Linked DNA regions of Callithrix jacchus. The protein of the gene in region 3 interacts with the protein of the main gene of each other region in a pairwise test. Links are inferred from orthologs where the notes say so. Each region holds a gene or a part of one and is shown on either strand. Other genes may lie near its edges.

Region 1 (3,949 bases), on a different chromosome or scaffold from region 3:
AATGATTCTTCTGCCTTGGCCTCTCCAAGTGCTGGGATTACAGGCACGAGTCACTGTGCCGTGTGAAGCCCCCAATTAAGAGACAGGAAATAGCCCTACTATGCATCCCTAATACTAAATAACTGTGAAAGGTCAGTTTCATTAACACTATGGTCATTCACACTTAAGTGTTAAAAATAATGAAACTGACATGCAAGGCTGTCTAATATGTAAGAGAAAAAAACCTGAAAGTAGAAAAAAGTTGGGAATGATTGTATATTTAAAGAAGTGAAAAAAAAAGTTGAAGAAATATAGTGTGATCTTATTTTGCAAAAATCCTACAATTGTGTTGGTAAAAATTCCCTATCTGTGTTTGTCAAAGGATAGAAAATGTTACATAGCCTTTGAGATAGAACCACTTTTTTTTTTTTTGAGATAGGGTTTGGTCCAGGCTGGGGTGCAGTAGCACAATCTCAACTCACTGCAACCTCTGCCTCCTGGGCTCAAGCCATCCTCCCACCTCAGCCTCCCAAATAGCTGGGACTACAGGTGCACACCACCATGCCCTGCATTTTTTGTATTTTCAGTAGAGCCAAGGTTTCAGCATGTTGCTCAGACTGGTCTAGAACTCCTGGACCTAAGCAATTCACCTGCCATGGCCTCCCAAAGTGTTGGGATTACAGGCATGAACCACCCTGCCAGGCCTTAAATTGAACTATTTTTGAAGTAATCTCTGGAATGAGGAACAAGCCTGTATTACTGTATATTTTTGTATGGTCCAGAATTTAAAAAATTTTAATGATTCTAAAATCAATAAAGCCATGTATATCTCTTGGAAAACAGGACAACAGTATTTCTCCTTTCCAGTAGCAGTTATAACAGGTATGAAAATAAATATACTTGACTCTGATTATACAAGAGCATGGATGCATTTCAAATGTTAGCTATTGTTATTATAATCCAATGATTTCATATTGACTTTTTAAAAGAGACAGAGTCTTGCTGTCAACCAGGCTGGAATGTAGTGGCATGATTATAGATTACTGTAATCCCAAACTCCTGGGCTCAAATGATCCTCCTGCCTTTGCCTCCTGAGTAGCTGGACCTACAGGTACATACCACCACACCTGGCTAATCTGATTTTTTTTGCAGAGATGAGGTCTCAACTAGGTTGCCCAGGCTGGTCTCCTAACTCCTAGCCTCAAGCTATCCTCTTGCCTCGGACCCCTAAAGAGCTGGGGTTACAGGCATGAGCCACTGTACCTGGTCCTCATATTGACCTTTATATCATGATTCCTGTTAAGTGCTAAAAAGCTGAACCATTAAATTTTTATATCTAATGATATAGATTACAACACTTCCCCTCAAATGCATTAAAAGAGTTAAGTTTGAGTCACTGACTTCATTTTTTAAAGAATCATGAAATATCATTATCATTTTATTCTAATTAAAATGATATATAATGCTTTGGAAAAAAAATTCTTTTTTTTTTTTTTTTTTTTGAGTCTCACCCTGATGCCCAGGCTAGAGTACAGTGGCATGATCTTGGCTCACTGTAACCCCGCCTCCTGGGTTCAAGTGATTCTCCTGCCTCAGCCTCAGACTCCTGAGTAGCTGGGATTACAGGCATGAGCCACCATGCCCAGCTAATTTTTGTATTTTTAGTAGAGATGGGGTTTCACCATGTTGGCCAGGCTGGTCTCGAACTCCTGACCTCAGATGACCCACCCGCATTGGCCTCCCAAAGTGCTGGGATTACAGGCGTGAGCCACTGTGCCTGGCAAAAATTGATCTTTTATAGGAAAAAACTGGGATAACTGATTTCTACGGCTTTCAAAGCTAAAACATACACTTAACCAACTCTTTAAAAAGGAAACAAACCAGTAGGGTTATGAAAACAAACCAGCACAGCCATCAGCACAAGTAACTGGCATGCATGCGTGCTGTTAGTGACCTAGTCATGCTCTAACTTCAGAAACAGCACTGTATATTTCACCCCATCTTATCATGGAAAGACATGGACTCTTCCACATTACTTCCACATACATTCTTACGGCAGCCATGGCAAGAAGTCTCTGTGCTCTCGATCTGCCGCTCGAGCTCCACGGCTCGGACGCCAGGTGCCAGAGCGCTGCGACACACCCCACAGACAGGCTTCTTCGGCTTCAGACATTCCTGCAGGCATGCAGAGCAAAAGCTAGAACAAGACATACAGAGAACCTCCGTCACGCATCATGGAGACAAGACAACAAATATGGATCAACTTTTAAAAAGACGTCAATGGATAATGGAGTAAAAACAACTTGCTCTCTTCTCCCAATTCAAATACAAAGTCCTTCCAGGCCAGAAAAATTGAGGAATAAAAGTGGACTACAAAGAACACACAACTGCAAGAATAAACGCAAACTCCTGTGATACACGGTGAAAGGTGTTAAGGTTGAGGCCTCAAGCCTTAGGTCCTGCCACTGAGGGATCTCAGTGGGGTTTAGAATCTCTGTTTTTTCCTTTGTGAAATGAAGAGAGTAGTACCTACCTCTAGGATTGCTGGGAGGACGCAGTTTGTATAGCAGACCCCTGGCAGAGTGTCCAGCATGTACCAATGCACCATAAATGGGAGCTGCTATCATTAGAGGTGAAGGCAAAGCGCTTTGGAAACATAAGGGGAAAAGCAACTAGCTATGACCTGAGAAGGAAAGGGCTAAGACTGCAGACAGTGTCTTTGATCAGCCTTAAAAGAGTTCAGCTGGATCCTCTGTAGTTCGTGAACGTGATGACTGGGTGTTCGTGCACATGTGTGAGATGTCCCACCCTTGAACCTTGTTACAGACGTTGGTCCATTACCCATCTGACACTTGAAAAAAAAAGAGGTCAGCCAGCAGAGGAAAGAAAGACTATTCTAGGCCTAATTTAGGCTTAAAATTCATTATGTACCTGAGGAAATAATAATCTAACAGACTTTTCCACAGAGCAGAAGTTTAAAGCAAGATATTAACAAGACAAGACCAAATCCAAGTTTCAGAAAAACATCTCTGTGCTATCATGGAAAACAAGTTTTCTTGTTGTTGTTAGTTTTGTTGTTTGTGTTTTTTTTTTTTTTTTGAGACAGTCTCACTCTGTTGCCCAGGCTAGAGTGCAATGGCACAATCTTGGCTCACTGTAACCTCCACCTTCTGGATTCAACCGATTCTCCTGCCTCAGTCTCCCAAGTAGCTGGGATTATAGGCGCCTGCCACCGCATCCGGCTAATTTTGTATTTTTAGTAGAGACGGGGTTTCACATGTTAGCCAGGCTGGTCTCCAACTCCTGACCACTGGTGATCCACCCACCTCAGCCTCCCAAAATGCTGGGATTACAGACATAGGCTACCACGACCCGCCATGTTGTTAGTTTTTTTAGGTGAGGAGATGAGAAGAGACAAAGCAAAAACCAAACAGATGGCTAAAGGCAGAGGATTGTGAGGGCCTGACTAAAGCAGTAGAGGATGAATTCAGGAAATGGCTCAGACGGAATCGGGACTTGATAACTTACTGACTTTAAAGAAAAGAAGGAAAGTCAAAGATGACTGAGTTTCTATCCTGAAGCCTAGGCAGATGTCGACGCTGAGATACTGCATACAGAAAGAATGGAGAAGACACCCTGGGCTACTTACCTAACCTGATAGATTAAGACAGTATAACCCAATCTGCCAGAAAGAACTAAGGATGTATAATAAAAGGCAATTTTCTGAACACTTGACCACTTTCTACTGCCTCTAAGAATCTCCTTCCTCTCTGTCATTAAGTTAGATGTCAATGCTGTTAGGAATTCCAGATCAGGTTCAGAGGTGAGAGAATCTACTCATTTGCCACTGAGGGCAGAGTGGAAACTTGACAAAGCCCTGTTCTCATGAAACTTACATTCTAGAGTGAAGGGAAACACAAATGTTAATTTCAGATAGTGATAAAATATATGAAGGAAATATGGCAAAGAG
Region 2 (3,949 bases), on a different chromosome or scaffold from region 3:
AAGAAAAAGACAGGAAAATTTTTATAAATCAGCTATGTTTATTCTAAAGTAAAATTAAATTCTCAGACTGGGAGTCTGAGGTGGGAGGATTGCTTAAGCCCAGAAATTTGATGCCAGCCTGGGCAACATTGCAAGATCCTGACTCTAAAAAATATTTTTTTTAATCTTTTTAAAATAAATTTTCAGTAGAAGGGTATGGATAGTCTGATTTGCAGAGCAAGCTCCAAATTTCTGATGAGCCTTTTCAATTAGAAATCTAAAAGTTTTTACTACTGAACGAAATGAGAAATATCCAGAAATAGAGTCAAGTCACACAGTATGGATTCTTAAAAAATATTAAACATTTAAAATTAAATTTTAGAATGAAAGTCTAGAGTGTGTCAGAAATTGATGCATTGTAATAAAACTTCAAGGACTTATATTTACTAAGACCCAGGAAGGATCAACAGAGTCCTCTTATTGGGAAGCTCTTATTGGGAAGCTTCCATATTTGCTCTAAGTTTGAAGAAGATAGTATGGTCACAAGTAAAATAGTGGTGATTTATCAAGAGTTCAGGAGATCACAAATTTGACATTAGGTTATAGCTGAAGGAAGAGAACTATAAAACTAGTAAACAAATAGCGAATTTAAATAGCAGAGATAAGATCAACACCAGGAGGTTAGGAATAAAAAACTGAAAGTAAAAAATATACTGAATTAATTTTAGATAATGGTAAATTTGGTCTTGAACAGGTTGAAAAGCACTGGACAAGAGTCTGAAGCAGTTGTGCGGCTGTCATGGGGACCTGGGGGCTTTTATAGTTGACAGTGATCCATGGACCATTCTTTTCCCTTTTGAAGAAACATGGTACTTCATAAACTGAAGAAGAGTGGGGGGCCTAATAGTTTTTAAGAAATATGTCCCTAGGGGCAATTTTGTTATTTGATAATGCTTTCAGTGATTATTTCTGATTGTTTTTCATTTGAGTTATTTACAATGTTATATGTTATGTGTTATATGTGTTAGAAAGCATAGTCTATTAATGATATAGAGGCTTTCCTTAATGCCCATTTATAAACTTTTCTCATTCAGATTTTGAGAGTTCCATTATGCTAATGCAGCCTATTACAGACAAGTTGCATGGTGACTATCTAATGCAAACAAAGTAAGAATTTCAAGATGTCAAATATGAACAAGTGATCTTCAGATGTATCTGTTCCTAAAACTGTCAAATTTAAGTTAATATAATGTTGAAGGTTCACAGCTCTCTTATACTGTATAATTATGATAGGACATTCTCTCTTCTAATTCATTTCTTCAGAGTGAAATAGAGAGTAATTTACCAAAAACAGATGTACTCATCTAGCTTCTAGCTAGCAATAAGAATAATGTCCAAGATCTAGAGTTCATAACTGGCTATACCTAATTTCAGCAAATATACAAGCAAATAATTTTTTCTTAAAAAGTGAATATTTTTATGAGAGGTATTTTATTTATAAGTGCCCCCTTTTGTTTAAATTCTAAAACAACTCTCAGCCTGAGCAAAATAGCAAGACCCCATCTTTACAGAACATAAAAATCAGCCAGGCAAGGTGGCATACTCCTCTAGTTCCAGGCATTCGGAAGACAAAGGCAAGAAGATTGCTTGAGCTCAGGAGGTTGAGGCTACAGTGAGCCATAATCATACCACCACATTCCAGCCTGGCCAACAGAGCAAGACCCCATCTTAAAAAAAAATAGGGTAAAATAAAATAAAACTACTCGTATGTGCCTCCAACGATTGTAAGTTTAGCAGATTTAAAAAGGCACCACCAAAAATCAGGTGAGATTCATCTGCCTTTTAAAGTTCAAGAAATATTTCTGCCCTAAATAAGGAAGTACTAGTTACAATCAGTACTGGGGCCTGTTGAATTGATTTACTAGTGAATGAGTTTGCTTTGTGTTCGTATTTGTGTGTCATTTTCTCCCCAAAACTTTACTTTGTCATTACATGTACATTGTCCCTTTGAAATAGCCATTATTTACTAGCAGTAGCTTAAGATAATTTTTGTGAGATAGGCATTGCAAAGTATCTTCTCTGATGTATAATACATCCTAGAGATGAAGGTTAGAAATCATTCTCCCTTGTATTGTGTCTATTTTAATATTATGACGATGATTACAAAAATAATAACTAACATGTATTGATGTGTCAGGCACTAGGCCAAGTATTTTGAGTATGTTAACTCAGTCCTTAACAACAAATATTATATACCCATTTTACAGAAAAGAAACTGAGAGTAACTTGCCCAAAGTGATTCACTTGGCAAAGCTGGAATTCTAACCCAGGCAGTCTAATACCAGAGTTCCACATATATTAACTCTTCACTATAATAATTATTTTATACTATTTTCAGAAATCTAGAAAAGTTCACCTAGAAAATAATATCCCCAAATCAGTGATTCTCAGCCTTGAGCGTATGCTGGAATCATTTGGGGATCTTCAGAAATTTAAACTAGGTCTCACTCCCAGAGATTTTTTAAGCTCTGAGGATTTAAAAGAAATCTCCTTAGGTTATTCCAAAATGCAGAGTTATCTATTGACTGTGGAAATGGAAGTCTCAATGGTAAAAACCACACTGTATATGCTTATGTGATTACAGTAGAAATAAGACTAGAAATTATATCTTTAAAGCTATGAGAGTATTTCCAAAAATATTTATTTGATTGATTTAATATCAATAAATAGTTACAGTGTTTGATATATCATGTGTTATTTTGTTTGTTTGTTTAAATACAGATATAACCCACAGTTATCTTGAACAAGAAACTAAAAGGATAAATAAAAGTACACAGCCAGATGAGCAACTGACTGTGAGTTCTGAGGAAAATATGCATCAGAAATCCACTGAATTAGTTAATGAAATAAGTTATGAGAACACAAAATGGTCAGAGCAGAGATCAAGGAATTTTCAGATCATCAGTTCTTACCCAGATGATGAGTCTGTTTACTGTACTACTGAAAAATCCAAGTAAGTGCTCACAGCCTTAGATTTAGAAAGTAGGAATGGGGGCTGGGCGTGGTGGCTCTTGCCTGTAATGACAGCAGTTTGGGAGGCCAAGGCGGGCGGGTCACTTGAGGTCAGGAGTTTGAGACCAGCCTGGCCAACATGGTGAAACCCTGTCTCTACTGAAAATACAAGTATCAGCCAGGTGTGGTGGCACATGCCTGGAATCCCAGCTACTCAGGAGGCTGAGTCATGAGAATCACTTGAACCTAGGAGGCGGAGGTTGCAGTTAGCTGAGATTATGCCACTGCACTCCAGCCTGGGTGACAGAGCAAGATTGTCTCAAGAAAAAAAAAAAGAGAGAGAGAGAGTGGAAAGTAGAAGAACTTTTTCTTCCTTTCTCCTTTCTTCCCTTTTTTCTTCTTTCCTTCTTTCATTCTTTTTGGAGTTGACTAATTCTAAACTCATTAGAATTTGGGGGATCTACCAGGGTTTTCTACTGTTTCTGTGATATGGATATAATATGTCTAGTTAACTAAGTGAAAAAGCACAACGTGCATCTAACGAAAGGCAGTGAGATTTAATTCTATCTTGTTCAATATTATTTTCTGTGATGTTTTATTATATATTTGAAAATAACTGTTAAATTGATATACATGAAATATCATTCATGAAAGTAAAAAGCTGGCAGCTCTAGGATAAGGTAAGCCCAAACATGCATTTTGGTTTGGGTTAGCACTGTTTTTCGTTTAAATGAATTTGAATGCTGTTAAAAGGGCCTTGTGCTCTACCATTTGCCTTCCTTATTATTTTACATTCTCAGCTTTTACCCATTCATCTTGCCTACCTAGCTCATGAAAGGATTTGAATTTGTGATACCTTATACTTTTAAGTATGAGATTAAGGAACTTTGATAATTAGTCATGTACTATAAAAATATTATTAGATTTAAAAAGAAGTTTCAGTGACTAGTGTATTTTC
Region 3 (4,505 bases):
TTACAGCACTGAGCCACCGTGCCCGACCAGAAACCACTTTCAAACTGACTTTCCACTTAAAGTATTTTGCACTTTTTGTTCTGTTTTGTTTGAGACAGATCTGTCGCCCAGGCTGGAGTGCAGTGGCCCGATATCGCTCACTGCAACCTCTGTCCCCGGGGTTCAAGCGATTCTCCTGCCTCAGCCTCCAGAGTAGCTGGGATTGCAGGCGCCCGCCACCATGTCTGGCTGATTTTTGTATTTTTAGTAGAGACGGGGTTTTACCATGTTGGCCAGTCTTGGTCTCGAACTCCTGACCTCAAGCGATCCGCCGTGGCAGCCAAAACATTTTACTCTTACGTGTACTCATTTATTCATTCAATATTTATTGAGTGCCTACTAGCACCAGGCACCTTTGTAGGCCTAGGTTTACAGAAGTAAAGCTCCCCTCCCCCACCCCCAGTGCCCTGAAAAGCACTATAATTGTTTCTATTTCTCCAATTTTCACTTTTATATGAATTTTCACATGCTTTAGTTCAGACATGGGCACAAGAATGAGTGAGAGAGAGAGTGTGTCTTGGGGCCATCCTACACTCTAGGGATGGGCACAGGAGTGAGTGTGTATAGGAGTGGGAGTATGTGCTCGCGCGCGCGAGTGTGTGTGTGTGTGTGTGTGTGTATCAAGCTCTGTATTATCTAAATAGGTCAAAGATCAACATCTGGCTTCTAGATCCATCATCAGGCCTCTCCACGTAATACCTGTCTCAAACCGGATCTGATTCAACAATAACCAGCCTTAATTCAATAATCTGTGCTACCTGAGATGGTGGGAATAATCTTGGTACTATAAATGTTGCAGAACAAAAACGACTGCAGCGGATTTTCTGGGGCTACACCAACTGAAAATGGGCCGGATCGAGTTCCGGGAGAGCGTTTTCCTGCACTAGACGTTTTCCCGCACCCGGCGTTCAGCCACCGGGTTCCGGGTCTAGCTGAGTCAGGAAGGCGCTCCAGCCGATTGCGGCCTCGGGAACCGTTCGGTTGCACCCGAACCTTCGGTCAGAGTCCAGGGGTTGGCAGCCCGGACCACAGCACCCGGGTTTAAACAGAAGTGGAGGCGCCGGGGAGGACCGGCGGTCCCGGCCAGTTTGGAAGGCGCACCCTCCCGGCTCCAGACGCCGGCAGGGCGGAGTCAAGCGGCCGCAGCCCCAGTCGAGACGCGCGCTCGTGGCTCGGGCGAATGGGGGCTACAACGGGAGCGGCTGCGCCGCCCGGCCGGGTCAGCATCATGCGCATGCGCGGACCCGGCGCCATTTTGGTGGCCGGGCGCGGAGGTGATTCCACACTGAGGAGAGCGCGGTGGCCGGGGTGGTAGTGGCAGTGTTCGTGTGCTCGGGTCTGAATCGCTGAGGGAGGAGGCGGTGGAGGAAGAGGTGGCGGCGGTGGCGGTGGTCGTAGCGGTGGCGGAGGAGGCGGGTACGAATCAGCTGCGGGCGGAGACATGGCCAACATCGCGGTGCAGCGAATCAAGCGGGAGTTCAAGGAGGTGCTGAAGAGCGAGGAGGTCAGAAATGAACTCCCGGACATCCCCCACCTCTGCCCGGGCGGGAGGGTCCTCCCAGCGTGACCCCGATATCCCCGGTAGTCCCTGGGTGGCCCTCCTTGCGGCCGCCCTTCTGCCTGTGGGGAAGCAGTAGTGCTCCCCTCCTCCTTCCGCCGCCTTCCCCTCCCCTCCCACAGCGCTAGGATGGACGGTCTCGGCGGGCGGGGGGTCTGGGGTGGAACACAGTTTGGGGAACTGATGGACAGGGGGGAACTCCTCGGCGGGATGGAAGCTCACGAGAGAACCCGAGGCGGTGGCCACAGCTGGAAGTGTGGCTCTGGGGTGGGGAGGGAGCAGGCCGAGCCCGAGAAAACCCGGGAAGTGGGTTGGGGGAAGGGGAAAGGTGGTAACTGTATCCGGAGGAGCCGGTGCTGCTCTAAGGCCCACACTTTTGAGGATATTCTGGGTTATTGCCTGTCAGGCCGTCACCGTCCTTTTCTTAGGGAAGGAGCGGTGAGTCCTTAGGTATCGATTAAAAAGGAAGGACATTCAGAGTTAGTCCTTCTTAGTTGGGTGTTAGGAGTCAAGGGGAGAATAATAGAATACTGTCTTATTCGGTGGCAGGGATAAGGGAATTTTCACCTCTGTTAGCAAGTTAATTCCAAATGAGATCGTTATGTCTTTTCCACTTTACCCCCAAATTCCTAGGCCTCGTCTTTATCGACATCTCAGTCTTTGAGTGGGCAAAGGCAAGGTGTTTGGTGTATTAAAGACATTTAAATATTTTTAGTTAGAAAAAAAATGGAATGTAAGAGTAGCTTATTTCAAAATATTGTTTACAAGTTACAGATCAGAGAGACTGTCCTAATACAGTACCTCTGTGACTAGTGTTGTGCCACGAAACTTCATTATGATGTCCCTCATAGTTAACTTGATTCTTACTTTTGAAAAGTAGACCTATTAAAAACGTGTGCTTTTACCAGATTAATACACTGTTTTATCTCTTTATTGAGTAGATTTATCACGATATAGCAGATTTTCAAAAAAATTGCCTCCCGTTGCTCTTAAATCCTGCAGAATTTAGATATATTAGTACGTTTAAGTAAGATATTCACAATGCTCTAGTAATTTGACTCAGAATTACATAAGTATTAGTACAGTTTTTCATACCAAAAATCAACAAGAATACCAGATTGCCTTCCCCACAAGGATTAAACAAAAAGTAATACAGAAAATGGTTATTTTCAAGATTCACGTACCATTATTGAATATATCGTTGCTTTTGTGTTTTTTCTTTTACGGTTAGTACTTCGATAATGTCGATAGTGATTAGTGAAATTCAGCATTCTAAGTATGTGATGAGTAGACATGAAGAAAAAATTGTTTAAAATTCAAAAATGACAAATAGGCTTCTTGAAAGTAGTAGTATGTAAGTCATGATCAGTTTTACAGAGCATGTGTATGAACTCTGACCTCTGTTCATATGCCAAAACTCTGAATGGAAGGATGACTTTGTATTTTGTGGTACAGTGCAGAAACAGAGTCATAAGTGTTTGTATTGATAACAGTGAAACAGCAATTTTAACTTAATATGAAAATGTATTCCAGGATATTTGACATATATACTTCTAATGGAAGATAGCAGCTAATATTGTTGCCAACAACCTAAAACATTTCTTGTTTAATAAGGTTGTAGAAGCTTGAAACTTAATAGACTTTTAATGCTTTATTTTCTATTACTGAAAAGTGGTAAGTTACTACTCTAGTAATTTATATGGTCTCTGCTTTTTATGAGCTGACTTCACCGTGGTATTCTTAGTACTTAACTTGAAGATTACCAGAAATACTTGTATTGCTCTCTAGTAATGCATATTGTTAAAATAACACTGCTCATTATACATAAGGGATGATGGTTTACTTCAAATAAGTATCATAAGCGTTTCAGAAGAAGAAAATAGGGACGACAAACTTTTTTTTTTTTTGAGAACAGTACCTATAGAAATATGGAAAGAAACTTCTTCTAGGAAAATAAGTTGCAAAGAACATTTAGGAAAAGTTCACATCACTTAATCTTGGAATAAATATAACCAATAAATAGCTTATTTTCACCATTATTTTTTGACATTTTAGTGTCCCAGATCTATAAGTAGATTGTTATTTTCAACTCATTGAAGGACTTGTAGTACAGTCCATGTGTTTCCTTTTTAAGGGTGTAAATCCAGTCTTTTGAATGGCTGATCAAATAACTATTTCATCATGTCACTTTTTTGGTAAATCTGCACTTTACCAAAGTTTATTTCATATGCTTGTGTGCTTGTGTTTAGTAAGAACACTGGTTGATTTAAGGACTTTTTGGGGTGGCCTTTTAAGTGTCTTTGTAGAGATAGCTGACGCTTGTTGGATTGTGGTGGCCATTCTTAGAGTGTGTTAATTAAAATACAGCCAACAAGATAAATGTGAAAAGCAAGATACAGAATAGTGTGGGAGAGGCCACCATTTGTTTCAAATGGAGGGGAATATGTGTATTTGCCTGTGCAGGTAAAAGGTTTCATGAGAAATTGGAAAAATTGACTGCTTTCTGTGTAGGGGAATTGGGTCTCTGGGGCATGGGGAGTAGATATTTTTTGAATTATGTGTCATATGAACGTGATTTACTCAAAAAAGGCACCATTTGGCCTCTTTCCCTTAAGACAGTGTTTGGAAATTTGTCAGATGTTTCTTTTTAATTTATTAATATTTATTTTCTTTGTTTTAGATGTTTATTTTTAAATATGAGTATGAATTTTAAGTCGTTTTAAATAATATTCCAAAGTTGTTAGGCATGGAATATTGATATAAAGTACATTTTATAATTATTTTATGAGTTGGATTACATAAGTAAATTGTTGATTATGAGGATATAAAACCCTCTGAAGAGGCACATCTAAAAAAAAGGATAATTATTCATAGGTTGTATTTTTTACTATTAATGCTGCTATTAGTA
Region 4 (4,389 bases), on a different chromosome or scaffold from region 3:
CATGCCCTTTGCAGGGACATGGATGAAACTGGAAGCCATCATTCTTGGCAAACTAACACAGAAACAGAAAACCAAACACCACTTGTTCTCACTCATAAGTGGGAGTTGAACAGTGAGAACGGAACATCACACACCAGGGCCTGTTGGAGGGTGAGGGGCTGGGTAGGGATAGCATTAGGAGAAATACCTAATGTAGATGATGGATTGATGTGTGCAGCAAACCATCATGGCACGTGTATGCCTATGTAACAAGACTGCACATTCTGCACATGTATCCCAGAATTTAAAGTATTATAATAATAATAATAATAAAAAGTAAAGTCTGGGGTAAACTGGGTGAAATTTATGGGCTGTTAAGTACATGTATGTATTATATGTTATTATATCCCATGTGTTATGTATTATTGTATATGTGTATTATATACTATGTGCTATTTTTGCAACTCTACGCAAATCTACAATTATCTCAAAATAAAGTTTTGTTTTTGTTTTTTAAAGTAAGTTCTGTGAGAACTGGGGTTTTATTTGCTTGTTGACAATTGTGTCTTTATCATCAGAACAGGGTCTGGCATGCAGTGGGCACTAAATAAGTCTTCGTAAAACGTGTGAATTAATGCCCGGCGACTTTTTATATTATTAGTAGAGACGGAGTTCTACCACGTTGGCCAGGTTGATCTCGAACTCTGACCACAAGCGATCCAACCGCCTCGGACTTCCAAAGTGCTGGGATTACAGGCCGGGGTCACTGAGCGCAGCTGATCAAGTTTAAAGGGCGGGGTGGGGAGAGTACAAACAACAGAGGAAATCCTGAGCCGCAGAGGAAACTGGAGATGGCAGCGTTTAGCACTAGACTCTGTACGAGAGGCAGGATTGGAATCCAAATCTCCAGAACTCTTTCCACTGCCCGTGCTATCTCTCCATTGATGGACTATTGACTGGATGACAAAGTATTGATAGCACAGTCTTAGGAGACGCCCAGTCATAGATCATAGGCCATCTTTGCAGCTTATTGTGATTTCAACCGTGGAGGATGGTCCTATCCATCACCTTTCAAGCGGCTGTTCTCTGATCAGCATTAAGCATGGCCACGCCCGCCCTTAACTTCTGACTGTGGGGAAAGAGGTTGTGTGGGTGACAGCTTGGAAGGTTTACTACTGCCTCAATCCTCTTTTCTGCAGTTGAGGTTTCAGGTTTCAATCCTCCCAATACCACAAGACAGTGCAGCGAGCACCCGGCGGCCGCCGCCTCCGCCTCCGCCTCCGCCTCCGCGCCTCAACCCCGGCAGCCTGCAGATTTCAGCCCCGCCGCCGCGCACTCGCCCTGCCCTAGACCAGGGTTGGGCGCAGCGGCTGAGGCTGCTTCTGGGCTGCGCGAACTGGGTGCGCTGGGAGGCGGCGATCGCAGCTGGGCTGGGACTTCCTTCCTCCAGCGCACGGCAACAAAACAACCTTGCAGCAGGCACTGAGCGCTTGGCAGCTGTCCGGGCGAGCGAGAGGCACAGCGATGGGCTCTGTGCTGAGCAGCGACAGCGGCAAGTCGGCGCCCGCCTCTGCCACCCCGCGGGCCCTGGAGCACAGGGGGGACCCGGAGTTGCCCGTCACGTCCTTCGACTGCTCCGTATGCCTTGAGGTGTTACACCGGCCTGTCCGGACCCGCTGTGGCCACGTGTAAGTGCCAGGGGAGCCGGGTTCGCGCCCATCCCTGCGGAGGTCGATGTGGGGAAGCTGAGGGCTTGGTAGGGGGAAGAAGGGGGACGGAAGACAGCGCCTTAGGAACTGCTGCAGGGAGAAACCTGGACCCGTCGGGTGCGGGGCCACAAGGAAAACGCCAGTCGGTAGGTGACACGGGACTTCGGGAGGAGAAGACAGAAACGAGCGGGCCCTTTAGCCCCCTTGCGCTGTCTCCTCCCGAAGCCCAGGTGCGGAGCTCCAGGGATCCAGGCACGGGTCCCACCCAGCGCCAGGGCTGGCCAACGAGGGAGGGTGCTCCTGGCTGGAGAACCAGCGACCGCCCGGGCACAGAAAGAAAACCAGCGCCCGCTACAAGGCAAGGGCTCCCGCTAAGCGCAGTTATCCCGCTGAACTCGGTGGAACGGGCTGCGCTTCCCTCTGCCCCAGAAACCTGGGTCCGTTTTGTTTTGCTGCAGCTGTGCACGTGTTCCCAGAATGCCCACAGAGACTCGTCTTAAGCAAACAAGGATTTGTGCCAAGTGTCCTTCCACCCCCACCCCTGCTACCCTTTCCCAAAACAGACACCCAGCCTCTCAAAGAGCAAGTCAAACTGGAGCTTCCGAGTGACTTTCCACAGTCGTTAGAGTTTAACAACCTGCTAGGGTGGGGCTTGGACGTTAGCCGCAAGCCCCTGAATGCAATCCTTCACTACCCAGCCACAGCGTGACAGGAGGTGGCAGACTACCTGCTTTACTCCCCGTCTCTCCAAACCCGCAGAAATTACAGAGTAAAATAACTTTCTCGAAACCGAGCAGTATTTAGCTAAAACTCGCAGTTGGTGCAAAGCCCTGTCGTTTCTAAGAAGCGTTTAAAAACAAAGTCCGGATATAAATTTGGCACATCCTTAATGTTGTGTTCTCTGTTTGCTTTTTTTCTTTTTTTTTTCCTGAGACATAGTGTGGCTCTGTTGCCCAGGCTGGAGTGCAGTGGCGCGATCTCGGCTCACTGCAACCTTTGCCTCCCCGGCTCAAGTGATTCTCCTGCCTCAGGCTCCCTAGTAGCTGGTATTACAGGCGTGTGTCACCACAACCAGATAGTTTTTGTATTTGGAGTAGAGATGTGGTTTCACCATGCCGGCCAGGCTGGTCTCCTGACCTCAATTGATCCACCCGCCTCAGCCTCCCAAAGTGCTGGGGTTAAAGGAATGAGCCACTGCTCCCAGCCTTCACTGTTTGTCTTGAATTTTGTTCACGGATACACGTGTGTGTGTGTGTGTGTGTCTGTGTGTGTGTGCGCGCGTGCGGGTGCACAGATCAGGAGCGGAAGCCTACTTAATGTCCTTTGAAGACTGACTATAGTATGATGAAGCCCTGTGCGATACCACATTGGCTTGTACAGCTTTTGGCTTAGCAGGAAGAAAGAAATAGCATATTATGGATGCAAGTGCACAATATGTTTTCGAGAACCACTTTTGAAAGGATTTGGGTAGTCCTTAAAAACATGTGCATTTGCATTCAAAAGTTTTGAGGCCTGTAGTGGTGGCTCACACCTGTAATCCTAGCACTTTGGGAGGCTGAGGTGGATGGATCACCTGAGGTCAGGAATTCAAGACCAGCCTGGCCAACATGGTGAAACCTCGTCTTTACTAAAAATATAAAAATTAGCCAGGCATGGTGACCTACACCTGTAATCCCAGCTATTCAGGAGGCTGAGGCAGGAGAATTGCTTGAACCTGGGAGGAAGAAGTTGCAGTGAGCTGAGATGGCACCATTGCACTCCACCCTGGCAAGACTTTGCTTCAAAAAATAAACAAAAAAAGTTTTGAAAGTACTTAGGTGGTCCTTATTACCTATATCTTTGTATCTGAAAAGCAGTGTTCACCACTGCCCGTCTGTGAGCCAGGGAGAAAAGTGTGCAACCTGTGCAATGTATAAAGAGTGCTTTGGGCATTATTTCATGGCTGTATTCTCAAGGCCTGTTGTTTCAGCCTTGTTCGTAAAATTCGAGGCTTAAATTTACCCTCCTTTCTGGTTATTGATGTTGTTGCTCAGCTGTCCAGATGTAGTAACATGATATCCACAGACCAATCTGGAAGCCAAAATGTGCTATGTGAGTCAAAGTACATTGATTAGTTTAGTGCAGTAACAACCTAAAGATACCTCCATTTAAATTTAATAATTATTAGCATTAAAACTTCAACGTAGTACAAAACAGAAACAGTGGGCGTTTTGAAGATTCTTTTTGGAATAGAAGGCTTTGCTGTTCAATCTGACTGGAGACTGTTTTCCCGGTTTGGACTTTGAACATTATAATTTACCGTTAACAGTGTTTTTCCTTCTACTAAAGGATAATATAAATTTGCAAAATGTTGAATTTTTTGTTTAATCTTTTTCTTTGTTCAAGTGAATAGAAAACTAGCAACTGAAAAAAAAAAGTCGTAAAATAGTATAATAAGGGCTGAGCAAACTGCCTTTCCTTGCTTCACTGTTCTTTGTTTTGGCAAATCTATGTTCATTGTTCTGGCTGTGGGCAGAATTTCCATATTCCTCCTTTTGGCAAACTTACTTGGGTCCCTTCCACTTTATAGCTGTTAACCAGAGTCCTTACTGCAGTAGAGATTGTGAGTGTTGTTAATACCATTTGTACATTCTAAACGAATTACTCTTTTCCGCTGAAATTAAGTTGGAAAACAAAGAAATGCAAATGAACCTTCTCTATT
Region 5 (3,949 bases), on a different chromosome or scaffold from region 3:
TCTAGTGAGAGAAACAGACAATATTAGTAACCAAATAGACATATAATGAAACGTCTGCCAGTCATACCTGCTAGGAAGACGAATAAGAAGAATAAGTGACAGAAGTGACAGAACCACCATTTAAAATAGGATGTCTGGAAAAACCTCAAGTGAGGTGACATCTCTACCTAAGCAGATTTCTCAGGGGGAAGTGTCCTATAGATAAGCACAGGTGCAAAGGCCCCAAGAGCCAACATTCTGAGGCCCAGAAACTTGAAGGAAGCCAGTGGCAGGGAGGGCGAGGAGCAAGGGAGAGAGGTCCTAGGATTCGGCAAGTTACCTGGAAGACATACAGGCCTTTGGGGCTGAGGGTAAGGACTTTGGCTTTTTAACTTAAAATGTTAGGGGATTCATCAGATAGTTTTGAGCCAGGAGAGAGGGCGATCTGGTTTATATTTCTAAAGGGTCACTCTGGCTGCTGTTGGAAATCTGAAAGTAGGAACGAGCTAGAATGGAAAGTTAGAGCCCAGTCAGGAGGGGTTGCAGTGCGCCAGGTGAAAGATGACAATGGTGTGGACTCTGGGTGGTCCTAATGGAGGTGTGAGAAATGGCTGGATTAAGGAAAAATTTTGAAGATCTGGAGGAAGGATCTTACATGCCAAGTCCTTAAGGGGGAACAAAACATTAGAAATTTTATTTTTTATATTACGCTCAATTTGTCTCTGTCCTTTTTATCTTAATCTGGCATGTCTTATATTTGAGCATCTAAAGGCCAGGGTTTAGAAGGGCCCAGCAACTTTGCATGCAGGTGGGTGTTTAGTTGAAAAAAGAAAAAAGGAAGAGTTAAGAAGAGAAAAAACAGTAATAAGAAAGCCCTTTCCTCACTTTTATGGCTCCCTTCCAAGCTCAAAGACTTTTTTCAGGGCCACAACAACTTACCCAGCAAGCACAGATGCCTTCCCTCGACTGCTGTTCCCAAGATCAAACAGATAGTGGAAGTTGTAGAACACAGATATCTTGGCCATGGAGCTTTTAGAAATGCTCATGCCCAGGCCCCGCTGCAGACAGTTAACATCAGAATCTCTAGGGATGCACTTGGGCTTTGGCTGTTTTGTTTTTCCCTGAACTCGCCAGGTGATTATTATATCCAGACAGGGCTTAGAACCTCTGGGATGTAGCATGCTGCATCCTCTAAAAAGGATTGAGGCCAGATGCAGTGGCTCACGCCTGTAATCCCAGCACTTTGGGAGGCCGAGGTGAGTGGATCAACTGAGGTTGGGAGTTTGAGAACAGCCTGACCAACATGGAGAAAATTCGTCTCTACTAAAAGTACAAAAAGTAGACAGGTATGGTGGCGCATGCCTGTAATCCCAGATACATAGGAAGCCGAGGCAGGAGAATTGCTTAAAGCCAGGAGGTGAAAGTTGCAGTGAGCTGAGATCATGCCATTGCACTCTAGCCTGGCAACACGAGCGAAACTCAAAAAATAAACTAAATAAATAAATAAATTAATTAATTAATTAAATGGATTTGAAAGAAGTTGCCCCCTGCTTAGGGAAGATGTAGTGGTTGTTTCTCTAGTCTCTAGGCATTCTTCTGAAGAAAAGACTGTAGGCCTGCATGCTGAGAGGTTTTATTTGTTCTTGTTCCTTTTAAAATTTCAGATCTTTCTTACTGTAACAGCTGACCTGAACTGTAACCTGTTCTCCAAAGAGCAGAGGGCATACATAACCACACTGTGCCCTAATGTCAAAAAAATGGAAGGTCCTAATGGAATTGAGAAGGTATATGGTGACTTTCAAGACATTGAAAAAATACATCAATTTTTGAGTGAGCAGTTCCTGGAAAGTGAGTGGAAACAGGAATTTTCCCCTACAGTGACAGAGAGGAAGCCACTCAGTCAGCAGGACAGGGACAGCTGCAGTTCTCCTTCCGAACCCAAAACCAAGGCAGAAGAAAAAAGCAACTGTTTTGAAGTTCCCTTGCCTTACTTTGAATACTTCAAATTTATCTGTCCCGATAAAATCAACTCAATAAAGATAAAATTTGGTGTAAACATTAAAATCCAGGAGAGTTCTCCAAATATGGTCTGTTTAGATTTCACCACAGATCAATCAGATGACCTAGAAGCAGCCCGTGAGTCTTTTGCTAGTGAATTTCAGAAGAATACAGAACCTCTGAAGCAAGAATGTGTCTCTTTAGCAGACAGTAAGCAGGCAAATCAAATCAAACAGAAATTGAATCACCTGTTTACAAAGCTCCTTATAAAGGAGAAAGGAAGAGAATTAACTCTCCTTGGGACCCAAGATGACATTTCAGCTGCCAAACAAAAGATCTCTGAAGTTCTTGTCAAGGCACCTGTGAAACTATTGACTGCCAGTTGGATGACGAATGGAATTGAAGTCGATAGTGCTCGCTATAAGCTTTTAGAAGCTGAATTACTACAGGAGATAACAGAGATCGAAAAAAGGTATGACACTTGCATCAAGGTTTTTGAGAAAGGTCAAAAAACCTGCATTCTGTTTGAACCCAAGGACAAGCAGGTAGATCTATCTGTGCATGCTTATGCAAGTTTCATCGATGCCTTTCAGCATGCCTCATGTCAGCTGATGAGAGAAGTTCTTTTACTGAAGTCTTTGGGCAAGGAGAGAAAGCACTTACATCAGACCGAGTTTGCTGATGACTTTAGAAAAAGACATCCAAATGTACACTTTGTGCTAAATAAGGAGTCAATGACTTTGATTGGTTTGCCAAATCACCTTGCAGAGGTGAAGCAGTATGTTCTAAGAGGAGGAGGAACGGCTTCATTGTCTGGAGAGAAACTGAATGAGGATCGTGTAACACCGATGGACATTGATAGTGATGATTCCAAAGCAGCTTCTCTGCCACTCAAGGGCTCTGTGAGTTCTGAGGCCTTTGAAGTGGACAAGAAGGAAAATGGCTTCTGTGTCATCTGTATGGACACCATTAGTAACAAAAAAGTGCTACCAAAGTGCAAGCATGAATTCTGCACTCCTTGTATCGACAAAGCCATGGAATATAAGCCAATCTGTCCCACATGTCAGACTTCCTATGGTGTTCAGAAAGGAAATCAGCCAGATGGAAGCATGGTTGTCCGTGTCTCAAGAGAGTCACTTCCAGGTTATGATTCCTGCGGCACCATTGAGATTAATTATAACATGAAAGGAGGCAAACAAACAGTAAGTATTTCTGAGCTCCATGGTTTCTTGCCACTATGTTACGATTACTAGAGCAAAAGAGACTGTCCTATTGCCTATCAGACAGTAGATTTCCCAAGGAATTATCTCCACGGTCATACACAAGGGACTGAAATAGTTAAAGGTCACAGAGTTTGCTGATGACTCAAATAGCTTTTTGTCTGTTTCTGAAGACAAGAAAGGGTGGGTGGAGATTATATCTTGAGTTGGCGCGGGGGTGAGGAAGGTGGACAGTGTTCCCAGCATGAATTCAAGGAAAGAGGAGAAATATGAGTTATTGGGAATATGAGCAAAACTTCAATACTTTTCTTGCTTTTGATTTGCTTTATCTACAAATGAACACATCTACACATACAGAAAAAGTTAGACAGCGTGCTATTTTCACATGACATTTTCTTGTTCTCACACAGAAGGAGCACCCAAACCCAGGAAAGATCTACCCTGGAGTACATCGAACTGCATACTTGCCTGATAATAAGGAAGGGAGGAAGGTTTTGGAACTGCTTCGTAGGGCCTTTGAGCAAAAGCTGATTTTTACAGTGGGGAACTCTCGAGCATTAGGAATCTCAGATGTCATCACTTGGAATGATATTCACCACAAAACATCCAAGTTTGGAGGACCAGAAAGGTGAGAGCCTTCTGGGATGTAACAGCTGCTCAACAGAGTATAGGGATTATGAAATATGACAATTTCTGGATGTGGATATAAGGAGAATCTATAGCAGTGATATTGGGTATAGTAAAGTATTTTG
Region 6 (3,949 bases), on a different chromosome or scaffold from region 3:
GACCTCCAGTGATCTGCCCGCCTTGGCCTCCCAAAGTGATGGGATTACAGACGTGAGCCACCACACCCAGCCTGTGTTTAATTTTTGAGGAACAGCCAGAGTGCTTCCCAAAGTAGCTTATGCCATTTTATATTTCCATCAGCAATGTATGAGGGTTCCAATTTTTTTTTTTTTTGCATCCTCTCCAACACTCGTTATTACCTGTGTTCTTTATTATAGCCATCCTATTTGGCCCCTCTCAACTGTTAGATCTGTACCTGTGTTTTATCACTGTGACTCCTGTTTTCTTGTTTTTAATTAAGGTGATCCTTGTCTGACTGGCCGTCTTCTGTAATTTGCTGATTACCATGCTCACGTTCACTCATTGTGTTCCTGGTTTATCAGTGGTCCTCCTGACCTAAGTTAGAGCTTGATGGCTGATCTTGGATACAGCCCTGCCTAACCTTGTAAATAAGAATAAAATAAGACAGTGGTTTTGATAGCTTTCTGTAGGAATAAGCCATTCCATGTCTTAATTATTGTCACTTGTTCTGATAATAAAGTTATATACTACAGTAACATGGCAGTAGTAAAGCTCTTTGTTTGTCACATTAACTGCCTTTCGGATGAGTATGTTTCATTTTGAGTCATGGCATTTGCTAGTTTTACATTATTTTCACATGTACATTGCATTGATGTAAATGCTTTAAATTCAAGTCTCCTTTTAGCAACTCGTAATTTAAGAGGTTGAAGGATTTAGATAGTGTATTAGCTGTAGGAAGTTTGATTTTTATATTCTGCTGTACTCTTTATTTAACTGAATGATCTTGGCTCTAATCTTTTCTGTATCTAAAACTGAAATGCTGTAATTGTGCCTACTACCAGGAGAATTCAGATTCTCATTAGAGAATTAACAGAATAGTATGAAGGAAAAAATAGGAAAGCGAAGCTTATATTCTTTAGCACATTATTAATGTTTCAATCCAATGTAAACATCTAGATGTACAGAAATATTTCATAGTAACCACTTTAAAATGTCATACCAGGAGTAAAACATGTTGTCTGATTAGTCTTTTGAATTCTCATTCTTTTATCTATATTTTACTGAAACAGGTTTTGAAGCAATTGTTTGATTTAACCAAATATGTTGCTGAAGGTAGTAAGATATACACTAAGATGAGTTTTTGGTTATTAGAAGTCTTTAAGTAGGCTTATGCTTTATATTTACTGTATTTCTAAAAATTGGGTGCATGAGGAGAGTGATCAGAGAAAAATGTTTTATAAGAACAGTGAAATAATTCATAACAGACATTTAATGTACTGATGAGGAAAAGACACTTCTGCCTTTATAAGGGATCTGCTCAGTGGACTTTGAGAACTCTTCAATTAAATAGTATAAAAAACACATTAAAAATCTTTTAAATATCTAATTTTGTCTTCTAGGCGTTCCTTAAAGTTTCCCATGTCTCAATGGACTCCTGAATATAACGAGCTCTACACCTTAAAAGTGGATATGAAGAGTGAGATTCCTTCTGATGCACCAAAGACACAGGAGAGTCTGAAAGGGATCCTTTTGCATCCAGAGCCCATTGGGGCAGCCAAAAGTTTTCCTGCAGGAGTTGAGATGATTAATAGTAAAGTGGGGAATGAATTCTCTCACCTGTGTGATGATTCTCAAAAACAAGAGAAGGACATGAATGGTAACCAGCAAGAACAAGAAAAAAGTGTCGTTGTGAGGAAAAAACGCAAAAGCCAGCAGGCTGGCCCTTCCTGTGTGCAGAATTGTGTCAAAGAAAACCAGGGAATATTAGGACTGAGGCAACACCTGGGAACACCAAGTGATGACGATAATGATTCCTCTTTTAGTGATTGTCTTTCTTCTCCTTCATCTAGTCTGCATTTTGGAGATTCTGATACTGTGACTTCAGATGAGGATAAGGAAGTCTCCGTGAGACATTCCCAGACCATTTTGAGTGCTAAAAGCAGAAGCCATAGTGCACGGTCTCAGAAGTGGCCTCGGACCGAGGCAGAATCTGTATCGGGATTGTTAATGAAAAGACCCTGTTTACATAGCAGTTCATTAAGGAGACTTCCATGCAGAAAGAGATTTGTAAAAACTAATTCCTCACAGAGGACACAGAAACAAAAAGAGAGGATATTAATGCAGAGGAAGAAACGGGAAGTGTTAGCTCGAAGAAAGTATGCCTTGCTACCTAGTTCTAGTAGCTCCAGTGAGAATGACCTCAGCAGTGAATCCTCTTCTAGCTCGTCAACTGAAGGAGAAGAAGATTTGTTTGTTTCTGCCAGTGAAAACCACCAAAACAATCCAGCTGTTCCCTCAGGTAAAAATGTTTAAGCCGAGTAACACATGGAACTGATTACATTGTATTTGCACTTATTTTTTTGGTTATGTCTTACTGATTTTGTTTTATATAAAAGGACTATGAGCATCTATTAACTTTTATTTTTAAGCTGTATAAATTACCAATTGTAGTATAGAACCCTGACTCTACTTCAAAAATAAAAATTAAAAAAATTTCGAGGACAAAAATAAGTCAGAGTTTTTTGGGGGAATAACCATTTATTACTTTTTTTTTTCTTTTTTGAAATAGAGTCTTACTCTGTCCCTCAGGCTGGAATGCAGTGGTGCAGTCTCGGCTCACTGGAACCTCCACCTCCTGGGTTCAAGAGATTCTCCTGCCTCAGCCTCCCGAGTAGTTGGGATTACAGGCACCTGCCACCATGCCTGGTTAATTTTTATATTTTTAGTAGAGACAGGGTTTCACCATGTTGGTCAGGGTGGTCTCGAACTTTTGGCCTCAAATGCTCTGTCCCCCTGCTTGGCCTCCCAAAGTGCTGGGGTTACAGGCGTGAGCCACCACACCTGGCCTCATTTATTACATTTTATACATACTGGATTATACTATGTATTATATGTGTTTTTAATTTATGGCACACAGTTTTTTTCCTTGTGTTTCTTTAGTATGTTTGACTTTTTTTTTTTTGGAGACTGAGTTTCACTCTTGTTACCCAGGCTGAAGTGCAATGGCGCGATCTCGGCTCACTGCAAGCTCCGCCTCCTGGGTTCAGGCAATTCTCCTGCCTCAGCCTCCCGAGTAGCTGGGATTACAGGCACGCACCACCACGCCCAGCTAATATTTTGTATTTTTAGTAGAGACGGGGTTTCACCATGCTGACCAGGATGGTCTCGATCTCTTGACCTCGTGATCCACCCGCCTCAGCCTCTATGAATACTTATTCAGCTATCTGTATGATGAATTCAACCGTAGTAAGAACAATACTAGTCACTGAAAAAAGACAAATAATAGTTTTTCTTTTTTTGAGACAGCAAGTGGGTCTGTTGCTCAGGCTGGAGTATGGTGATGCAATCTTCGCTCACTGCCAACTTTGCCTCCTGGGCTCAAATCATCCTCTCACCTCAGCCTTTTTAGTAGCTGAGACTATAGGCATACACCACCACATCTGGCTTATTTTTGTATTTTTTGGTAGAGATGGATTTTGTCAAGTTGCCCTGGCTGGTCTTGAACTCCTGAGCTCAGGTGATCCACCTGCCTCGGCCTCTCAATATTTTTTCTTTAAGTACTCTATTTTTGTTGTTTGCTGTTATCATGTTTTTTTATAGCTGAAAAATAATATTAAGTATCTGAGTGTTAACTTTTATTCTTTTTTTTTTTGAGACTGAGTTTTGCTTTTGTTACCCAGGCTGGAGTGCAGTGGCGTGATCTCGGCTCACTGCAACCTCCGCCTCCTGGATTCAGGCAATTCTCCTGCCTCAGCCTCCTGAGTAGCTGGGATTACAGGCATGCGCCACTGTGCCCAGCTAATTTTTTGTATTTTTAGTAGAGATGGGGTTTCACCATGTTGACCAGGATGGTCTCAATCTCCTGACCTCGTGATCCACCCGCCTCGGCCTCCCAAAGTGCTGGGATTACAGGCGTGAGCCACCGCG
Region 7 (4,681 bases), on a different chromosome or scaffold from region 3:
ATCTTCTATTTTTATCCACATCTGATATAATGTTATTAAATGTATACAAAATTTGAGTTCCTGTGAATTATAATTTAATGTTTATGTATCATTCCTTTTTATCTCCAGCAAAGTGCTTATCCTTACTATACACTTTGGTTTTTCCCCATCCCACTACTTGGCATGTTTCTGTGTTTTTGCATTGTGTATATTTTAAACAAGATGTTTCACTTTGTTCGTAATGAAGTCTCACAGCCTTTGACTTTCAGTCTTTAAACTGCTTTCATTTAATCTAATTAAGTTGTACTGATACGTAGTGCTTTCTATATTATTTTACCCCATTCTTTAATTCTCACTGGTTTTAGTATTTTTGTTCTATTTTCCCTTTTATAATCTTGTTTCTTTTATGTTGAAATCTTTTGTCAAAAGCCCCTTGTTGGGAAAGTCTAGAGACTTTGTATATGGAATACAAAGCACTGTGCCTCTGAGCCTAGGATTTGCTGTTACAAAGAATAAATGAGAAGGTGGCTAAACTGCATAGGAACACCATTTAAATATTTATGGAGTGAGCTATGAATGCCATTGTAAGAATTACCAACATCATGCTTTGTAAGTCCTCTAAGATGTGCATCTGTTACATCTGGCCAGACCCACTTGAACAGTCCTTTTCATTACATGTTAATTACTGGCTTCTGTGCCTGGGACAGAAAGATTATTCAGACAACTCACATTCACACAACAGCCAATCCTGTTAGGCTTTGACCTTCAGCTTTTGGGTCTGTATTTACTTTATTACATAAACATAAATATTATATTGTGATGTATATTCTTTTATATATTTTTCAAATACATAACTTATACATATATATGCATATATATTATATATATATCATTCTTAAATATAAATTTCCAAATATAAATTATTTCGCGTCAAGCTAAACAGGATAAAAACATGTAAACATATACACTTGGTTTTGGTCAAGTAAAACACAAAGTCACAAGTTCATCATAGTTTAACAAGTGCACTTGAAAGGGAAGAAGGGAAAGAACAGACTGTAAACAAACAGATGAGCAGCTGCAAGGCCCTGCAAGGGTCCATTTGTTAAGGCTATTATAGCAGAAAGCTACTAGTTCAATTAAAACTTCTCCTTTCACTCTGCCATATTTACTCTTGAGAGTCTTCAAAATACGTGTGGAAATTCAGTAAACACTAAACTAGAACTGAGTTAATCCTGTTGAAAACAGAGATGACGAAAAAGCCATAAGCTGACATTAATATTAATTTCACCAAAATAGTAACTTTATGGACTTACTTTTTAACACAGATAATCACCATAGTCCTAGGAGAAAAGATACTCAGAATAGACAAGAAAACAGAAACACTGCCTCAACAGCCCCTGAAAGCAATAGGAGTGTCAACATAGGGAAAACAGGCATTAGAAGATGACAGAACCTCAGGAGACTAGACCACATGCCACAGCACGATGCTACAGATTCAAATTGAAATATTCTTCCAGCTCATAATGAAGCAAGTCCCACTGCTCCTCAGAGAAGGGGAACTCATCTCTCAGTGAAAGAAACTGCTTAAACAACAGACTGGCCAGCCGAAGCACGACAAGCTCCTTCTTACTGCTTTTATAGAGCGCGTTGCCCTCTCCCATTCGCACAGGCTCCACAAGTTGATGCCAGTATGCACTGAATGACCCACCACCCGGCCCAGGAGGCTCATCTCCCCAGCCCTCAGGGTATTCATGCTTGTAAAAGCATGTGTCTCCAAATGGGCAGTTACCCCTGCCTTCCGCAAAATACCTGCAGGCCTTGTTGCTCATTGCCTCTTTGTATTGCTGAATAAGTTTCTGCTTCTCTTCCTCCTCCTCCACCCAGAACTCACTGGGAATGACCAAGTCGGAGGTGACCCTGCACTGTGGACAAGACTTGATGATCCTGTTATCAAACTGTCTGGCACTTCTCCACCTGCGGATACACCTAATACAGAAGGTATGGTTGCAATTGGAAAGAATGCCAAATCGGCGGTCATTGGGGTTGGCTTTCTCATAGACAACCTCCATGCAGATGCCACACACCTTGTCCATACCACGCTGCACAGCAAACGAGAGTTCCATATCTTTCTCGTGTGCTTCAATGCAGGCCCTTATATGGTCTTCCCTTTGGGCAGCATCCATGGGGTGCAAGGCCTGCAGCCCACACATGTCGCATATGTCTCCATGGAGGTACATACAGCTCTCCCCACGAAAGCAAACTCCCCTGGAAGCATAATAGCAAAACCGCTCACCCCTGCCCACAGCCATCTGCTTCCTCTCAGTCTCTGAGCTCTGTAGAGGAGCCTCAGGAGCAGATGCAACCCGGCGGCCCCGGTAGGGCTGCCCTGGAACAAACTCAATGGCATCCGCCCAGCTTTCTACACCTGCTTCTCCAGCAGCTCCACGGTCTGCATTGTCTCTCTCGGCTTCAAAGAAACCCCTTTCAGCAGCCGAGCCAATCACAGGCAAGGACTGCGAGGATGCAGCCGGGGGGGCTTCCGCCACTTCCTGAGTCGGGGGCTCGATGTGCGCAGCCGTGCTAGGGCCTCCACTTGCAGAGGCCCCAGACGGCGAAACGCGGCCCTCGGTGGCCATCTTCCGACAAGAAAGGTCGTGGGAATAGCGACAGTTCTCCCCCTCCTTGCACTGCCCATGTATATAATACCTGCAGGCGATCTGCTTTGTCCAAATGCCACTGCTTCGGCTTGGCAAGGGGCTGGGCCAGGCTCCTCCTCCGGAGGCTGGGGCAGGCCTCAGGCCTCCCGTGCGGAGGTGGGCAGGGACTGGAGCTACAGGGAAGGGGGCCCAGCCCACGGCCACATGTGGCAGTGCTGAATCTGGAGCAGCAGATTCCCCGGAGGGCTCACACGCGGGAAGGTCGGGCCCAGACACACCCTCCCCTGCTGCCTCAGCACCTGCCTGGGCCCCGGCTGCCTCGTGGGCTTCTGAGGGAGCTGCAGGCTCTTCCATGGCAGCTTCTTCACCCCGAAATGGTGCCAGAACGTCTCCGGTATTTTTTCTTTAAGGGCTTGAGGCCCGGAGCCGCGGCCACGATCGAGACTTCTCTGGGGGAAGTGTGCACCTCTTTTCCTTCCCCCCTGCTCTTGGCTCCCTGTGACTCTGTGTTCCTACCTACTTCCGGGCACAGGCAGCATGGCGGACACTTCCTGTCGGGGCAACCTACGTGCGCTGCCTGATTTTTGCGGCAATTTTCCAATCTGACATCTCATCTGACATCTTTTTTGTTCACGCAGGCAGGGACCGACCCGGCCCCTTTTGTCTGCCTTCCGCCTCTTGTTTCGCTGTGTTTCGGCAGCCCCTAATTCCCTCCTCACACCATTTCCTCAAGAGAATGAGGTTTTCATGTAATCTCTTCTAGTTTCAGTCATGCACGCTTTCATTGTATTTCCGCGTCTGTCTGCCTTAAATTATAGCTCTGTAGATTCTGAAACATTTCATACGTGAGTTATATAAATTCCTTTTGGATTCATTCCGTCTCACGTCTGTGGGTTTTTTCTTTTAATGCCCTGCCTGTCACTGCGGGAAACTTTTTTCGATTTGTTCTATTGACAAGGCGTCGTTTCGTTTGGTCTTTGTTTTCTGGGATTTCTGAGGGCTTACGTTGGATCCGCTTTTCACCAGCAAGTCATTAGCAGAGAGCACGTCTGATCCGAGGCGAAGTGAGCACCTTTCAGATGTCTGTCTTTATTGTGATTACTATGGTCATTTTCCCACTGTGAAGAAGCCTGGGACTTCAACCAGTCCTGATGCTGGCTTAATAAGGCACTGTCCCCTGCATGACCCAGGCTTTTGTTTTCTCTGCTGGTATATTCATGGCAGCCCTTTGTTTCCCTTCCTTTCTTTCAGCCCCATCTGTGCTGTGTTGTGGCAGGACAGCCTTTTATAACATATCCTGTGCCATATTATCCACAAGAGAATGGTTTTTAATTTCCATGTATGAGCGTTTTGTCATTTTTGCAGATACATGTTAGTACATTAATCATTTTTGTATCCCTGCTTTGCTGAGAGTACTTATTATGACTGCATACTGAATTCAGTCATGAGTTTTATAGATTTTTTTGAGATAATCTTGCTTTTCCCTTTATTCTCTTAATGTGATTATTTGCAGCTACGAATTTCAAATATTTAACCAATTCGTTTCAATAATAAGCCCTCTGTTTCGTGATATATCATATATTATTGGATTTTTTTTCTGAGGAAATTTTGCTGCTTACATTTATAAAAATATTCAGATAATTTTATAAAACATAAAATTATCATCTGAATATTTATAATCACCTAAATCAACAAATTAAATTATAATTAAGTAGCTAAAAGCAAAGAAGGCAGAATGAAGCAACTAATAAAGGCAAGAAAAGCAATGAAGAAAAACAAATATGAAATAAGGGAAGTAAATTAAGTAAAATCCTTTAAATGCTTATTGAAGCCAGATAATTTCCAGTGAAACTTATCAAGGAAAAATGAAAAAGGCTCAAATACCCAAGATCAGAAATCTCAAATATGTTATCACTACATTAATAACAGACATTAAAATCATTAGAGAATATCAAGGACAAAGTGAGGACATTAAACTTGAAAATTAACATGACGTATTCATATTGCTGGAAACATCTGTTAGCAAAATGACAGGAGCAGAAGTA

The links.
Region 1: the proteins of UBE2K (region 3) and RNF114 interact in binary tests that used the Homo sapiens proteins (3 or more experiments, as listed by UniProt). The link is inferred for Callithrix jacchus from reciprocal best matches to the Homo sapiens genes UBE2K and RNF114.
Region 2: the proteins of UBE2K (region 3) and MIPOL1 interact in binary tests that used the Homo sapiens proteins (3 or more experiments, as listed by UniProt). The two-hybrid records come from large-scale screens. The link is inferred for Callithrix jacchus from reciprocal best matches to the Homo sapiens genes UBE2K and MIPOL1.
Region 4: the proteins of UBE2K (region 3) and RNF125 interact in a two-hybrid assay, tested with the Homo sapiens proteins (2 studies listed by BioGRID and IntAct). The link is inferred for Callithrix jacchus from reciprocal best matches to the Homo sapiens genes UBE2K and RNF125.
Region 5: the proteins of UBE2K (region 3) and DTX3L interact in binary tests that used the Homo sapiens proteins (3 or more experiments, as listed by UniProt). The link is inferred for Callithrix jacchus from reciprocal best matches to the Homo sapiens genes UBE2K and DTX3L.
Region 6: the proteins of UBE2K (region 3) and RNF111 interact in binary tests that used the Homo sapiens proteins (3 or more experiments, as listed by UniProt). The link is inferred for Callithrix jacchus from reciprocal best matches to the Homo sapiens genes UBE2K and RNF111.
Region 7: the proteins of UBE2K (region 3) and MKRN3 interact in binary tests that used the Homo sapiens proteins (3 or more experiments, as listed by UniProt). The link is inferred for Callithrix jacchus from reciprocal best matches to the Homo sapiens genes UBE2K and MKRN3.

The regions. Positions count from the first base shown.
Region 1 is NC_133506.1:45,490,182-45,494,130, reverse strand, and holds part of RNF114 (E3 ubiquitin-protein ligase RNF114), read right to left. Parts: intron 2,831-3,949; exon of another isoform or gene 2,727-2,830; intron 2,177-2,726; coding exon 2,026-2,176; intron 1-2,025. UniProt on the Homo sapiens protein: E3 ubiquitin-protein ligase that promotes the ubiquitination of various substrates. In turn, participates in the regulation of many biological processes including cell cycle, apoptosis, osteoclastogenesis as well as innate or adaptive immunity.
Region 2 is NC_133509.1:71,918,280-71,922,228, forward strand, and holds part of MIPOL1 (mirror-image polydactyly gene 1 protein), read left to right. Parts: intron 1-1,073; exon of another isoform or gene 1,074-1,146; intron 1,147-2,760; coding exon 2,761-2,992; intron 2,993-3,949.
Region 3 is NC_133504.1:154,118,270-154,122,774, reverse strand, and holds the start of UBE2K (ubiquitin-conjugating enzyme E2 K), read left to right. Parts: upstream 1-1,291; 5' UTR 1,292-1,480; coding exon 1,481-1,543; intron 1,544-4,505. UniProt on the Homo sapiens protein: Accepts ubiquitin from the E1 complex and catalyzes its covalent attachment to other proteins. In vitro, in the presence or in the absence of BRCA1-BARD1 E3 ubiquitin-protein ligase complex, catalyzes the synthesis of 'Lys-48'-linked polyubiquitin chains.
Region 4 is NC_133514.1:75,100,926-75,105,314, forward strand, and holds the start of RNF125 (E3 ubiquitin-protein ligase RNF125), read left to right. Parts: upstream 1-1,467; 5' UTR 1,468-1,503; coding exon 1,504-1,667; intron 1,668-4,389. UniProt on the Homo sapiens protein: E3 ubiquitin-protein ligase that mediates ubiquitination and subsequent proteasomal degradation of target proteins, such as RIGI, MAVS/IPS1, IFIH1/MDA5, JAK1 and p53/TP53.
Region 5 is NC_133516.1:80,460,299-80,464,247, reverse strand, and holds part of DTX3L (E3 ubiquitin-protein ligase DTX3L), read left to right. Parts: intron 1-1,643; coding exon 1,644-3,179; intron 3,180-3,607; coding exon 3,608-3,825; intron 3,826-3,949.
Region 6 is NC_133509.1:5,024,842-5,028,790, forward strand, and holds part of RNF111 (E3 ubiquitin-protein ligase Arkadia), read left to right. Parts: intron 1-1,422; 5' UTR 1,423-1,441; coding exon 1,442-2,321; intron 2,322-3,949. UniProt on the Homo sapiens protein: E3 ubiquitin-protein ligase. Required for mesoderm patterning during embryonic development. Acts as an enhancer of the transcriptional responses of the SMAD2/SMAD3 effectors, which are activated downstream of BMP.
Region 7 is NC_133507.1:5,631,884-5,636,564, forward strand, and holds MKRN3 (E3 ubiquitin-protein ligase makorin-3), read right to left. Parts: upstream 3,101-4,681; 5' UTR 2,991-3,100; coding exon 1,467-2,990; 3' UTR 726-1,466; downstream 1-725. UniProt on the Homo sapiens protein: E3 ubiquitin ligase catalyzing the covalent attachment of ubiquitin moieties onto substrate proteins.